Oreochromis niloticus: one gene and its partner. The protein of the gene in region 2 purifies or fractionates together with the protein of the main gene of each other region. This does not show direct contact. Links are inferred from orthologs where the notes say so. Each region holds a gene or a part of one and is shown on either strand. Other genes may lie near its edges.

Evidence for each region.
Region 1: the proteins of strn3 (region 2) and tcp1 purify together in Homo sapiens (affinity purification with mass spectrometry; 3 studies listed by BioGRID and IntAct, with this or other methods). This does not show direct contact. The link is inferred for Oreochromis niloticus from reciprocal best matches to the Homo sapiens genes STRN3 and TCP1.

What each region holds. Positions count from the first base shown.
Region 1 is NC_031980.2:12,365,085-12,373,065, reverse strand, and holds the start of tcp1 (T-complex protein 1 subunit alpha), read left to right. Parts: upstream 1-4,963; 5' UTR 4,964-5,045; coding exon 5,046-5,118; intron 5,119-5,360; exon of another isoform or gene 5,361-5,498; intron 5,499-5,599; coding exon 5,600-5,685; intron 5,686-5,973; coding exon 5,974-6,102; intron 6,103-6,423; coding exon 6,424-6,521; intron 6,522-6,609; coding exon 6,610-6,720; intron 6,721-6,832; coding exon 6,833-7,014; intron 7,015-7,352; coding exon 7,353-7,479; intron 7,480-7,793; coding exon 7,794-7,969; intron 7,970-7,981. Other genes in the region: pleckstrin homology domain-containing family G member 1, read left to right, coding at 485-1,464. UniProt on the Homo sapiens protein: Component of the chaperonin-containing T-complex (TRiC), a molecular chaperone complex that assists the folding of actin, tubulin and other proteins upon ATP hydrolysis.
Region 2 is NC_031983.2:3,680,893-3,688,832, reverse strand, and holds the start of strn3 (striatin-3), read right to left. Parts: upstream 3,020-7,940; 5' UTR 2,475-3,019; coding exon 2,208-2,474; intron 1-2,207. Other genes in the region: ap4s1 (AP-4 complex subunit sigma-1), read left to right, coding at 3,727-3,924, 4,009-4,095, 4,183-4,251, 4,641-4,673, 5,026-5,154; E3 ubiquitin-protein ligase HECTD1, read right to left, coding at 6,709-6,846, 6,927-7,071, 7,148-7,298, 7,744-7,837, 7,937-7,940. UniProt on the Homo sapiens protein: Calmodulin-binding scaffolding protein which is the center of the striatin-interacting phosphatase and kinase (STRIPAK) complexes.

The DNA of each region.
Region 1 (7,981 bases), on a different chromosome or scaffold from region 2:
GTAGTAGCTTTCCTGTGCAGGAGAAAAATGCAAGCTCGGAATTCAGCTTGAGGCCAATACAGTTACAGTGTCACCATCTCTGACATATTTTGCCAGCAGGCCCTCTTTTAACATATCCAGTTGTTGGCAAAGCTGGAATAGCAGTTGATTCAAGTTTTTCATTGTCTCAATGGATTCACTTATAAAACAACCAATAGGATTTTTTTTTTTTTAATGAAAAGACCAATGATTGGCCAAAGGTGTGAGGTATAGAAGTCTAGTTTCCTACTGAAACCACTTTAATTATATTATGTTGAGGTTATTATTGAATATTTGTCCAGTGAGGGCCAAAAATCTGAGTTTTAAGATACTCAAAATACTGTTACATATAACAAAAGGAAAAAATGGTGCCGTTATTGTATACCAGTGCTGTTAGTTTATGAGCAACAATGCAAACATACCTCACTCACACTTCTTTTGCATCATTTTTTTCTCCCATCTTAAGGTGCACGGATAGCAGAGTACTCCCATCTGTATGACCAGGTGATGTTTAAAGATTCCTCCAGTCCAACCTCTGCTACCCCACATCACTCCCATCCAGGTCTGTCATCTTCTCCGTCCATGCCTGAGACCTCTCTGGAAGAGGACTGGCTCCACTCTACCTACAGCAACGGAGAGCTGGCCAGCTTTGTCTCCTCGTCTAGCGAGGTGGGGGAGGCTCGAGCATCTTCTACCCCTCAGCGCAGGCTTACTTCAGCCTGCTCCACCCCTTCTTTCTTCCCTCCATCTCCGACCACTCCACCGGCACAGAGATGGAGTTCATGCATTTCGGCGCCTAGCGAGAAAGAAGAGCACGTGTACAGCTCCATTAAGAGACATCCTTCCTTTAATGCACCATCTTTGCCTGCAAAGGCCTCCCCTTCTGCTCAGTCAGTCAGTTCTACGGGCAGCCAACAGCAGGAGAAGTCTGGACTTAAATGTAATGGACTCGATGTGGATCGATCCACAGACAGACTTCATGGTCCAAGTCTAGGCCGAGCTGGCCGGCAAAGTAGCCTCCCAGAGCGGTCTACCCAGGGGCTTTCAGACCTCACTTTACACGATGGCCAAAAGGTGGTGGTCCTGAATCGGGCTTCTGCACTGAGCATACTCACCGCTACCCAGAACTACTTGGCCAACTTCAAGGACAATGGGGAAGACGATGACGACTATGTCGAAATCCGCTCAGAGGATGAGAGTGAACAACAGCGTGACAGGTTGGCGCAGAAGAACGGCAGCTCAGCTGCTCTTGCCGGTCAGAATCGGGGCGTTATCCAGTCTCAGAGTCTACCGTGCACCCCAATCCGCTCCTGCGACCCGCTGAGACCTCTGGACCACGAGCATCTGGAGAAATACCTGTGGAACGAGCCGCAGCAGAGCCAGCCCAACATCGTCCAGTCTCTGAGGGAGAAGTTTCAGTGTCTGAGCTCCAGCAGCTTTGCCTGAGGCTATGTGTCAACTAAAAAGCCAAATCTATATTAACAAAGGGAACAATTCTGCTTGGCCTTGAATGCCCTACATCTTAAAACACAAAGAAATATAAAGCAAATATAACACAACTCTCAGTGTAGATCAGCCATATTTGTAATGACATGTTAATGCCTTTGCCTTCTGTTACAGTGCTTTGAAGTTTAACATAATAGGTGACCATTAACGGTCAAAACGCCACATCAAAGCTTGCATGTAAGCTGCCTTAGCACTTCCAGAGATCGGGGTGGGGGGGTGAGGGGTCGCTAGAGAAAAGCAAAGTTCTCAATTGTCTGTAAAGGGAATCCAGTGTGACTGAAAAGATTTTAATATTCAAACTCTTCGATTGCTTTTTGTGTTGAACCTTGTAGACATAACTGGTGTCATATGAACTGTTGTACAGTAGTTCAGGATACTGACTGAAATGTACTCTCTTCTGTGCTCAAGGTCTTAGACTTAGACTTAAACATCTGGTGGACTTTGACAGATTGTGACCACCACCATGTCAGAAGTACCTCTTCAACCATGTTCTTAAGGTTAATTTTAACTGCACTTTCATCTCTAGTTAATATTTACCTATATAGGAGAGGTGACCCAGAGTCGTGGCTAGTTTTAAAACAAATTTGCTTACACCATCAAACAGTTCCAAACAAGCAGCTTTACAAATATACAGTTCAGATTTGCAGTCTTCACATGTGCTACTCAGGCTAGTTTTTCACCTTTAGGTGGCTAATACAAGACCCAATAGGTTAAGTATGACTAAACATAGACTTGTAAGTCTATTTGAAGTTATTGTACGTCACTCTGCCTACCACCTTTCTAGGGTATTGTGCTTTAAAAATTGAGAAGATGCTGATATTTTAGATGATCAATAAGAAAAGATAGGATTAAATATTTATTTTGAATCTGTGAGCAAATCGGAAATGTTTTTACGTGTTAATGTCTGGGGCCATCCATCGTGCACAGCTTAAATGTTCATCTCAATAAATAAATCGTATGTGTGTGTGTGTCAATTTTTTTTTTTTTTTTTTTTAAATATTATAATTTAACCTTTGCTTTTAAGAGGGACCACAAAGGAAATGATTAAGGAGACTTACTACAGTACTGTATATGGTGTAGGTTTTTTTTGTTAGTGTTTTTTTTTTTGTAATGGATCATCAGCTGTTTGTTTACCTTGTTTACGTCTTGGGACACTCCCAACTGTCACACTACTGATATTACATCCTCACTCCCAGAAAGTCACCTCGACGGTTCGCCAACACATTTGTTTTTTCTTTCCCATCAAAGCAAACCCAAGATTTATGCCACACTTGTTTAATTTCTGAATGTCCTATTTATTTGAAAGCATCCCTCTGTTACTGCCCCGTGTCACTATTACTGCGAGCCACCGACTGGTTGTAAATGAAAGAATATATTTATTGAAAGAGAGTTTTATTATTATTTAGGAGCTCACAAAATTTGTATCAAATACTGTGAATATTATCCGAAAATGTTTCTATCACGCACTGCTTGATAAATACTTACGAAAAGAAAACCCCACAAACACTTAAAAGCACAAGATCGTGGCCTGTTGTTCATGTCAGGAAAATTGCGTCAAACACAAGTTAGGAATATGAAGTATTTTTGTTCCATTGTACATTTTCGTCCTGTTTCACTGGTGGGGATTGTCAGTTTTCATTTACTTTTTCTTTTCTTTTTTGCACTTTTTTTTGTCTTTTTTTTTTTTTTTTTTTTTTTTTTACGTTGAATTTGTAAACACTTTGTAAAGATGTACATTTTAGGAAGGTTATTCTTCTATGCCATAGGTATGCTTTTTAATGCTTTGATGTTTAAGTTAAGTCTACTGTATTTTTTTAACTGGCTAGATGTCGTGGCTCAAACTATGTTGGAGGTAATAAATACAGATTAAACTCACCTTTGTGTGTGTGGTTTTTTTTTTTTTTTTCTTCCTCTTGTTATCTCTCCACACTGAATAATAGGACTCACAGCAGTCAGGAAACTTTTCTTTATGTACTACAGTTCTTATTAGCAGTAGAGCATGCATGTCATTTACTTAAGTAAAACTGTTTGCAATGGCAGAACACTTCCCAGCACTGAAAGGCACTTCCCGGCACTAATGGTATGACTTTCAAAATCGTACATCACCTCATTCTTAAATTATTGCATTCACAAACATATGTGTCCGCTCTGCCTGGCCAGTTGACGACAACACCCCATTCAGCCTTTTATAGCTGAGCAGTCAAAACTGAGCAAAAATGCTAAATGAGTTTAAAACAATTAAATAATAATAAAAACTAGACCCCATGAACCTTTCAGTTTAGGTCTGGACTTTGACTGGCTCATCTCAGCAACTTGCTTCTTTTCTATTTCAGCCATTGTATTGTAGAGTTGCTGTTGTGTTGGGACCTGTGTCCTGCATAACTCAAGTTGGCAAAGCTTTAGCTGTCAGACAGATGGCCTCACATTTGACTCTAGAATGCTTTGTTACACAGAGGAGTTCATGGTCAACTCAGTGACTGCAAGATGTCAAGGCCCTGTGGCTGCAAAACAAGCCCAAATCATCAACCTTCCACCGCATACTTGACATTTGGTTTGAGGTATGTTCAGATGCAGCTTTGCAAACATAAACCATGCTGCCATCTTGTTTTTATAAAGAAGAGGCTTTTCTTTTTCTTCCAAACATGTCATACTTGTTCCCTCTTAATTCTTAAAGTAAGGGTGTACTTAGATTTCCAATCACTGCTTTCACTCTTCATCTTGGCTTAGTTTTTGATAAATAAACATAACGGCATATGTCATGTTTTATAATTAATCTGAGGTTGTAGTTACCTAATCTTAAAATCTGCTAAGGACTAGATTATTATCCTGAAATGTGAAACAGAATTTAAAGAGGGTGTACTTTTGTTTCACCATGATTTTGTAAATAAAAATATTTAAGCCATTCGAAAGTAAATGTGTTTGAAATGGAAATATCATCTCTAATATATTATTTCCAAGCCACTAATTTGTCTCGTCGCTAAACATATTATGAAATTGAGTATATGGAATTTGTGAGTGAAAGCAAATATAAAAATAATTCAAATAGTTTTAACTTTCTGTTGATGTACTGACCAAAAATAAATACAAACAAATATTCATCTTTCAATACAAAAATAAAGAAAATACCGCATGAAACTAAGGAAAAAGTCGACAAAAAATAGGATATTCATCCGCATAACCACAGTATCAACAGTAGCAGGCGCACAAACAGCTTTAGAGCTTCGGAAGAACCAAGAAGAAGAACTAGGGCGCGGCGCGGTTGTTTTGGGGCATGCTGGGAAATGAAGTTTATAAGAAATGACTCAACAAAAACGTTGATTTGTAATTTAAAAAGGGAACGACATCACGTGAAAAAATGTAAAACATTTAATAGCGAGTTCTACAACACAATTAAAAGCTCCCATACTGAAAAGATCGAGATTCTTAAGATATTTTCTTCTCGAACCTTCTTCCCAGTACCGGTTTACCCATAGTGCACTGCGCAGCTTCCTTTCTTCTCGGTTGTGCGGTGGTCCAAAAAAATGTCGCTATTAGACGGTCCGTTAAATGTGCTCGGCCAGAGGACAACTGGCCAATCTGTTCGCACTCAAAATGGTGAGTTTATGCGCTGCTTAACTTTGTCCGTGAGACAAAATTAGCGTCTCTGCTATGTGTTTATTATAACGGGCAGGAGAACGGTTTCATGCAACACACGTGTGGATCACGCTAATGCTAGCTAATGTTAACTTAGAGATTGTGCTTCCTGTCTATTACTATTATTATTAGTATTATCATTATACTACAGCACTGAAAATCTGTTCTGTCTCAACTCTTGCAGCACGTGTTGCAATTGTCTAAATCCCATTTTAGTACCGTCCACTCGCACTACAATGAATGGAGGGTTATGCTAATGGGATAGAAAAACTCTGTCATGGTCTGAAGGTGTGGCGAGCTGAATGTGCGCCCCTCTGAATGAAATGACAGCATATCCCTCTGACTGAGGTCCGAAGGGTCAAAGGATGTGCCTAGTATCTTTAGATGCATTGAACTTGTTGCTTCACGCTCGGTAGTTACAGCGTCCTTTTCGCTTCTGCAGTTATGGCCGCAGCATCCATCGCCAACATCGTCAAGAGCTCGCTCGGACCCGTTGGCCTCGACAAGATGTTGGTGGACGATATCGGGGTCAGTATCACGTTTGGAAGCCTTTTGTATCACGCTCTGTTTATATGCCATTAAACAAAGGTTACTGTAGTAAACTAAAGTAAACAGAAGGTTTAAATTAGCGATCAAATACATGAAGAAATCAACTTCAGATTGTGCAAAATGCAGCAGCCAGACTTCTTACAAAAACCAATAAAACTGAACTGAAGCGTCAACACTGCATAGGGTTTAGATCATGAGGCAGAAACTATAATAACCACATAAAAGCCATAGTTGCTTATCAGTTGTGTTTTGTGGTTGTTTCGACAGGACGTGACCATCACCAATGATGGAGCAACCATCCTGAAGCTGCTGGAAGTGGAGCACCCAGCTGCAAAGGTCCTGTGTGAACTGGCTGATCTGCAGGACAAGGAGGTTGGCGATGGGACAACATCTGTGGTGAGTAGCTACCACTAGCTCTACTGGTGTTTGTGAATGCAGCTAATTTGTTGGATTTTACATAATACAGAGCTTCAGAAACTGAATTGCAGCATCCTGTTTTAGTACTATGCACCTGCCTCTTATTACGGGTGTGTGGCTATGCTAACAGGAAAGAGAAACTGTCCATCATGATCTGAAAGGGTCGAGCAGCCTCATTTCTGCCACCCTTAAAGAAATGATGGTACAGAGCATGATCCGTATCTTTTGAGTTTTATTGTTGATAGAAAATAAACTAGTTCCCAGCTTTTAGCTCTCATTGTTTGCGTTTCTCTTTCTCAGGTAATTCTTGCTGCAGAGTTGCTCAAGAGTGCCGATGAGCTGGTGAAGCAGAAAATTCATCCCACATCAGTCATCAGTGGATACCGTCTGGCTTGCAAGTAAGATGTTAAATGTAAAATCATCCAAATAAGATCATGTAGGGTCTGTTGCAGTTTTGTGACGCTCAAACTTGCCGTTATCTTTTAGAGAAGCAGTCCGCTACATTACTGAGAACCTCACTATTGGAACAGACGACCTGGGAAGAGAATGCTTAATCAACGCCGCTAAGACCTCCATGTCTTCCAAAATCATCGGAGTGTATCCTTGATTTGTTTGCAGGAAATCAGCAAAATTTACCAGTGTTTATATTTTGCATGTGCAGAAAGCTCTTCTCACTCTCTAAAGTATCTGCCTTGACCCAAGCCTTCAGTGATGCAGACTTCTTTGCTAACATGGTGGTGGATGCTGCCATGGCTGTGAAGTTTGTGGACAGCAAGGGGGTAGCTAAATATCCCATCAACTCAGTTAATGTGCTGAAAGCCCATGGCCGCAGTCAGAAGGAGAGTTTCTTGGTCAACGGGTATGCACTGAACTGCACAGTCGGTTCACAAGGTAAGTCTGTCACAAAGCCTGAAATTCATGGATTTTAAGTGTAAAAAGTGAGGATTTGCACAATGTTGGTGATTTCTTTTGATTAGACTCCCATTTAAATTTGCTGCTATGTCTTTCCTGATGGTGTATGCAGTGATACGCGTGGGAGACAGTAACCATGGCTAAGAGAAAGATGGTCACAGCAGTTTGTGAACTGTGGCAAAGCTTCTTTTGGCCTCACAGTAGAATAGTTCAGGGACCGTTTTTCCCTTCAAACGGTTTTGTAACTGTTTTTATAATTTTCTCATAATGAATTTTTATTGTCCTTTGGATTTTTAAAATGATGTATTGTGTCACAGGCATGGTGAAGCGTGTCGTTAATGCCAAGATCGCTTGCCTGGACTTCAGCCTGCAGAAGACCAAAATGAAGATGGGTGTACAAGTTATTATTAACGACCCAGAGAAGCTCGACCAGATCAGACAAAGGTGACTTTTGAACATTTTTTTTCTTTTTCTTTAAACAGACACATTTTTAAGAATCATCCCATTAAATTTACTGTGTTGCTTCATCATTAGCTGACACAGTGATACGCGTGGGAGATATCATAAGCAGCCACATGTGAAGGCAGCAGCTCTTCTCTGAGATGCATGACTACTAATGTTGGCCGGACACTTTGTGCATCGCATGTCTTTATAATTATACTGTTTAAAGTATTGCAGCTTATTGTGAAACTGATAACAAAGCTCCACACAAAGGAAATGTGGAGGTAAAACTAAATATGTATTTTGTGTGGTTCCAGGGAATCTGATATTACCAAGGAGAGGATCCAGAAGATTTTGGCATCAGGCGCAAATGTTATACTGACCACTGGTGGCATTGATGACATGTGTTTGAAGTATTTTGTGGATGTGGGAGCCATGGCTGTTAGACGAGTTTTGAAGAGGGACCTCAAACGCATCGCAAAGGCAACAGGAGGTAAGAAAGAAG
Region 2 (7,940 bases):
GTATTCTGGTTACATTCCTAAAGAACAGGAAGGTTACCGACCGCAACTGTAATATTCAAATATGAATTTCTGTCTGTGTAGACAGCAACAGGTGTGATTTTCAATGATTTATCACAGTTTACTGCTGTATTATCAGAAACAGAGGGGATGTAATTGCCAACTTGACCCCATTCGATTGCAGACTGACAGCAGACTGAATCCATCTTATAGCAACATTTATGGCAGGTGTTGCTATAGATGCTCTCATTTTGCAGCAAAAAAATATAAATAACTGAAGTGAGATAACTTTATTTTACTGGATAAAAACAAATACTTACAAAGTTCAACTTTGAGGAAATTATCTGCAGTTGAAAAAAGGTCACAAATCATAATGTATGTTATGGCAATACTCAGTATATCACAAACAAAATGTTAAAAATTGCAATATCATCATATCATCACTGAGGTATTGTGATAATATTGTATCGTGGAGTGATGGTGATTCCGACCTGTATTAGAGCTTTATATAGAACAATTTATGTAAAAATCTACTTTTGACTGCTTTCTTGTCACAAAGGCTTGCTACAAAGAGTTGCCACAGCGGGTAGCTCCACATGTTTGATTTGACAGAGTTTCTTTTTTACTCCAGATGTTCTTCCTGACCCAACCCCAGAGAGGATTTATGTTGCCTGCTAAAATCAAACCTGTGCCCTTTCTCTTACCAAGGGAATGTGTTAACCACTATACCACTGGAGACACATACAGAGCAGTATTAAATTACATACATTTTCTATGTATTTAATAATTGTGTGAATTAAAACATCTTCTTACAGCAGGAACTATACAAGTAGCAGGAAACTTATAAAAGCAAATACTGTTGTTCAAATAAATACATAAAATGGTTCTGCCATACCCCTATTTGATGGCCTCATGGTGAATACACTCTAAACAGTGGTCATAAATAGCTTAAAGAAACTATTAGTTAATCCAAGTGTATGTAACACTAAACTGATCTTACATGGATACCTGTCAAAACAGATACAAGATTTGATAACTCATTTATATGTCAAAGAATTAGCCTTGTTTATTACAAAACAAAGACATGGTATTCTTTTTACAAGGAAACCAAAGGCACTCTAAACTGGCTTGGATTTAAATAAATCTACACGGTATAAAAATGTCTTGTCTTTGTTTGTTACTTAATGCTACTGATTATCATATTAGTACATGCAACATTCAATGGGTGATTACATTTTATCAGCCTAAGTGCATGGGCACCCCATTTACTGAGACTATGAAAAACTAGAAATGCTCTCAATTTATCATGCCTGCTAAAAGTGTTGACCTTTTATCTGATTGTCTTACCCTCCTAACTTACAATTGTAACGCTGATAGTTAAGGTCTGCCTTTTATCTTATGATTTTAAAATTCAAGTGTTTTTATTCTTAAATTTAATTTTAGTTTATAAATTTGACTTTTATCAAATATGACAGCAAGATCCGACTTTAATATACGGGCTTGAACATTTTGTTTTTATTTTGTATCTCATGTTTATAATACTTTGATGTCACATAATTTTTATCTGGCAATACTAACTAATACTAATACTAAGAGTTTATTTCATCATTCATACTGAAAAGAATAACTTTTAAATGGTTACGCAGTTTTCCTCCAATTTCATTTCTTTTCCTTATGTGCTGTGAATCACAGTCGCTCGGGCCCAGCTGTTGACTCAAAAGCAACATTAGCGACTAACACTGCTAACAGCTAGCGTGACAAACCAAAATGACTAAGATTAGATAGCTGACAGTCGGTTGGATTCACTTCTCCATTGCTAGCTAGCGTCTGAACTCAGTTTCCACAGTGGGAAAGTTTTAGCTTAATATGAACAAATGAGCTAACAGAGGAGAACGGCAACAACAGCTTCAGCTACCTGCTAAATTTGTCTGACACCGACTGAAGCTAAGCGCTACCTCTAGTCGAGCTAACGGTAACCCAGAGCTGACCCTTTAGCTTAGCCACTTAGCCAGTCGGGTTAAAAATATCGAGCTTAGCTGCTTTTGCCTCCCGTTTAAACCAAGGCCATGCCTAACTAATCGATGAAATTATAGATTAAATGTTGCAACACTGCCACTACCTCTCTAAAACCAATTGTCTACACACTGTCCATGTTGTTGTTGTTGGGGTTTAGCATGGTTGGAATTCTGTGCTAAGTTGGGAGGGCTAACCTGAAGCTCGGCCCTCTCCACTTCCCAGTGCGCCCTCTCCATCTCGAACCGGGCCCACTCATGCTGGATGTAGTGCAGGATGCCGGGGATTGTGTACTGCTGCTGCGGCCGAGGTAGCTCATCGGGCTGGTGTGGTACCATGACTGCTCCGCCACCACCGCCTCCAATTGGTGGATTCGCGCTACTGTTATTCCCCTGCTGCTGTGGTGGCGGAGGCTGTCGTGGGGCACTTGTTCCGACCCCTCCTCCGCCGGGGTGTTCGTCCATAATTTTTTTTTTTTTTGAAAAGTAGAAGGAAAGTCTCCACAGGCAGCAACGATCCGCGGAGGGATCCCCGCCCCCTAAAGCCCGTGTCTCAGCTCCGTGCCTGTCTAGCTGGCTCCGCTGTGTTGTGTAAAACTGGCTTTCCTCGGAGCGGTGTGGTGCGCGCGGCTGACTGAGGACTTGGTGTTTGTGTATAGAGCTAACCGGCCGCCATTACTGTTCTCTTCCCCGACCTCTCTCTCTGTTTCTCTAGATCCTGATGGTCAAGGTGGGAGAACCCAGCCGCAATGCCTGACGGGACACATCCATCCTCCTTTTCCCTTCCTGCTATCCAAATATGGAACCTTCACGGCTCAAGGAAAGGGTAGTAAAATATAACTCTTTAACGGAGCATATATTAAGATGTATGAGGAAATACAGCAGTTTTACCTTTAGCTATCAGACATATTGTGGTTGTTGTCTATCGCTCCTTTTAAGTACCACAACCACAACTTGTAAACAGCTGAATCTAAAATCCCGTCCAGGATCGTACCGACCAATTTTAAACCGTGAGTACAGTACAATAAATTATGTACAAGGTATATATTTTGCATCTTTCAAAGGAGGAAACATGCAAACATCGGTGGGATTTTCTTTTGGATTGTTTGCGTGGAATAATTACTCCCTCAAATGTCTTAATGCTTAAGTTACGAGCATGTTTTGAAAGTATAAGTAGAAAGTACTTGCGTTCAAATGTAGGAAATAACTGTTACCCTGGAATGCACCTATCTACGCATGCGTACCAAATGCTATTGCTGTATATCGTTGGATTTCGTCTTTCGTTCGTATTTATTTACCTTTACGGTACTTTACAGTAATCTGACTTTAATCCTGTAAACCGAAAGCATCGTGTTTAAAATAACATTAGCTTGGGGCAAAAACTCGCTAGCAGAAGTTCCCATTTTAGCCCGTTTGATGGGGTTAATGTAGCATCTGGCACAAGCTAACAGCTGGCGGTAAGTAAAACAAACGTTCAGCTTAATGACTGATGTGTTACACAGTTTCCTGACCATCTGAAAGTTATGTTGTATTTAAACGGCACTAAACTTGTTAAAGAGAAATGTAATGCTGAGGGTGTAGGATTTGTTAATGTCCTCCTTGACTACTCCGGTGACCCAGTAGTGGTAGGTAACCAACAAACTCAGTTTTTGTATTACTATACAACAAGAAGCGGGTGTTCAATGTATTAGATTGCAATATCTCATACCATGGGACAATGGTCTGTACTGATAATATTGACTTTACGATTCCTCTGCAGCCAGCAGCCGATCGGAGAATGATCAAGTTCGTGCTAATGGTAAACCGACAGGGTCAGACCAGGCTGTCCAGGTATTATCACTCTGTGGAGCTGAGCAGGAGAGCAGCGCTTGAGGCCGATGTAGTACGCTACTGCCTGAGCCGCAAGAAAGATCAGGTGTCTGTCTGCGAATTCCCAGTCTCGTTTAGATCGAATAAATAACATAACAATATCATGTTTTTAACCTCTCTCTGCTTGCAGTGTTCCTTTGTGGAGTACAAAGACTTTAAAGTGGTTTACCGCCAGTATGCTGCTCTGTATATCGTGGTGGGCATCACAGACAGTGAGGTGAGTCTGATCGGAGGTATTTTACACCTCAGCGTTTTCGTCCTTTCAATGGTCAACAGGACGTGTTTCTCCTCTTTACTCTCACAGAATGAGCTGTCCATCTACGAGCTGGTTCATAACTTCGTGGAGGTCTTGGATAAATACTTCAGCCGGGTGGTGAGTTCAGTTTGATCGAGGTTCTTACAAAAATAAATACTGGCAGCCGCCAGTGCTACCCCTCAGCCTCCTAGTAGATGCATCTGTGGTAGAAATGTGAAAATCCTAAAAAGCCTCTGAACTTGAGGTCAAAGTCACAATGACTAGCTATTTAGTAGATGCACCTTTGAATTAAAAAGTAAATTCTACCTCACTTAATTCTCGAGCTATACTGCTGAAAACCGTTGGATCCATTATCAGTGCAGGTCTAAGGCAGGTCTTAAAAGCATTAAAAGTAATGATTACAGTTTCAAACATATATTGTATACTTTTTGAGATGTCTGTAACAACAAATGAAGACTGTTGAAATGCATGAATCATAGAAAGCTGCTGCTGTTTGAATATTTCAGTCTGTGTATTTCTCCCTACAGAGTGAACTGGATGTATCCTGTAACACAGCCACAGCTGCACACACTGTGCTTTTAGCATGACATGCAGTGCATATTTTACCAAAGCCCAGTAATTTTTAATTCCTTATTAACCAATTTCAAATCACCTTTACACCAGATGTCAGAGCCAATAATAAAGCTCCTTCATTTACATTTTATGGTCAGCTGAAGGACAGTGACCATTGACAAGGACACAGAATGGCGCAAAGAAAAAAAAGAAAGAATAACCTGGAGACACAACAGATTTAGAGTTGAGGTCAAATATTAATGTAAAAGTTACCCATCACTATTTGTTCAGTAGGAGTCTTTGTCTTTCTTTATTTCCTTGACCCTTCGCCTTTATCAGATAATGTTCAATCTGGATCGAGTTCATATCATCCTGGATGAGATGATCCAGAATGGACACATTGTGGAAACAAACAAGAGCCGCATCCTCGCTCCCCTCACCGCCATTGACAAGATGGTGGAGAGCTGACAAAAAGAAGAAAGGGAGTCACGGACTGTCCTTCAAGCTCGAGGAATGGCCCACAGCTTACTGTATGAATTTAGAATCTGGTTAAAGGTACTGATGTTAAAAAAAAAAAAAAAAAAAAAACAACTACTCAGTGCCAACATGAACTCTGGTCAGCATATTAATACACATCTGTATACTGTATCCAGATGTTTGAGCTGCACAGCTGAGAGCAGGAAGCCTCCCTCTGAAGTTGGCCAGTTTGAATTATTCAGGGGGAAAACTGGTTGTGTGAATTTAGCGGGAAATAAATTACATTTTTTAAATTTGTCTTTTGGGGTATTGGGAGACCACAGGGATTGTTTTGACTGAGCTGGCCACACATGTAAAATATCTGTAACAAACCAAAATGTAAAGACATGTGGCGGTATTTTTTGTATATGTATAAACCTAAAACATTAATAAAAATATATATATATATATATAAAAAAAGCTGTCTAATATGTAATAAAACAAAAAAAAAAATTAAATAACTATTTCATTTTAAAAAAATATAATGTCCTAAATACTGAAACAACATCTGTATAATAAGTTTGAAATTTTTTTTTAGAAAAAGGCTACAAGATAAATCTCTAAATCAATACTACATCTCTACGCGGTGATTTTCAGCGACTGGACTGCTGTAGATGATGGATCTGCTTCAGCCTCATGTTGGTTGAAGTGCAGCTGTAATACTGAAACACTTAAACTCCACTACAAACAAGTCAAAATTCAACTTGAAAACAAAATGGAAAAAAAAAAATAAATAATCAAAGATTCATATTCTTCCACAGACCACAGGACTCATTCTTTACTTCATACTTTGCAAACATTTTAATGATTTTTTTTGGGAGCATACACATTTGAAAATATCTGTTTACCTCAAACTGCAACTTGAGTTAAATAAATGTTTATAATATACAAAGAAAATACAGGGATAGCAGAGCTTTCTTTTTTTTTTTTTTTTTAAATCTTTCTCTTTAGATGTGCCTTGCACACAGCCAGTGTTTTTGTCTCCATAGCTTCATTGTAAAACAAACACCAAAGGCTCTCTGACCTTTGACCTTTACAACTGGTCAGTAACAACCAGAGAACTGTCGCACACACACAAAAACAAAAAGCAATAAATGGGGATGGGGGGATCCATGAACATTTCAGGGAGGAGGAAGTGAAAACAGAAGCTATGAGTCAAACCAGGCACCAAACTGAGAGCAGACAGGAGGAGGAGATCAGCACACACACGCACGTACACACAAACACACGCAAGCCTGCAGCATCAAAGCTGGGAACAGAGCAGCAGCAGCAGCTCAGGATGGTGAGGAAGATGATGCTGCTGCTGATGAAGGAGGCGGTCAGAGAGGTGTGAAAGACGTGAGAGCGTTTCTTTCATTTTGTTTCTGCAACATAAATCCTCCTCCTCCTGTAGCAGGAGGTCCGGCCGTCAGTCCGTCAGCTGGTTTGGATTGGCTGGCTGATCCGTCAGTCACAAGGCGAGACGGACAGATGACTTGAGAAGCATGCTCAGTGTGGCAGCGGTGGTCAGTTGAGGTGGAAGCCTTTCTCCATGGTAGCGGCTAACAGGCGCTCCCTCATGATGTCCTCAGATGAGTACTCGGGCAGCTTCAGGTAGTGAACACAAGTGTTGACAGATGGGTAGCTGGAGTCTGTGGCATCCACCTACGGAGGCAACAGTCAGTCAGCTTACTGACTAAAACTACCTATATTAACAAACTCAGTCATTTAGAGAGCCAGTTTACCTTCCTGACGATAGTGAGGCGGGGGTGCAGGTTGGCAAGACCACCAGGTGGCAGGGTGGAGCAGCCAGTGGTAAACTGCAGGAAGGCTTTACGCTCATCAGATGACATTCCACATAAGACTCGCACAAACCGCAAGAAGCCAGGGCTGAAGGAGGAGGAGAGGTTAAATACATGATGCCGTGGCTCAGTGTTTCCATTAGTGTTGATGTAACATGTCATACCTGTCTCTGGTGTAACCAAGCTTTGGTTCTGTGTAGTTGATGATGTCGTCAGCAGTCCAGGAAGGAGACTGGTTGCCACAGAGGATCATCTGCACCTCCTTATGGCTAAAAGAGCTTAGTTTCTCCATTGGAAACACGCGATTAAAACCCTCTGAGGAGGAGAGGACACGTTTATGATATTAGATATCCAAGTATTCACTCAATTTTAGAAATAATCACCAATTTACTAAACTGCCAGGGAAAACGAACCAGAAAAGTTTCTCGTCGCAATGGAATCAATTCTATTGTGACAATGAGTCGAGAGAACATAAGGGTCTAAAATGAGAGTCAATCTTTAGAAAAAAAAAACACCCCTCAAACTTTACCAAGACCAAGTCCAATTAGGCCACGTCAAGGGCGTTTCCAGCATTAAAACAACTGCCTCTGAACACAGAGCACTACTTTCTTGCTTTGTTATGTTGTCCACCTCTTTCCTCATTAAAACAGGAAACTATTTTATTTTGTGAAGTTTTCTAAAAAAAAACAAAAAAAAAAACAGATTTCTCCACAATGACAGGACACTGTAGAGAAACAATTTGCCAGTTTTGCACATTTACCTCTAAAGGCCTCCATCTGTTTCTGGATGCCAGTGTGCATACAGAAGTCAAACATCAACTCCACGTACTCTTCTGCATTCTCCATGGAGACCATCTATACACACAGAAAACACTCAGTGAACTCTTGAAAATGTGCAAATTTACGTGAAGATATTTCCATCCACATAAGAACCTTGTTCTGAGGCATTTTTACCTCA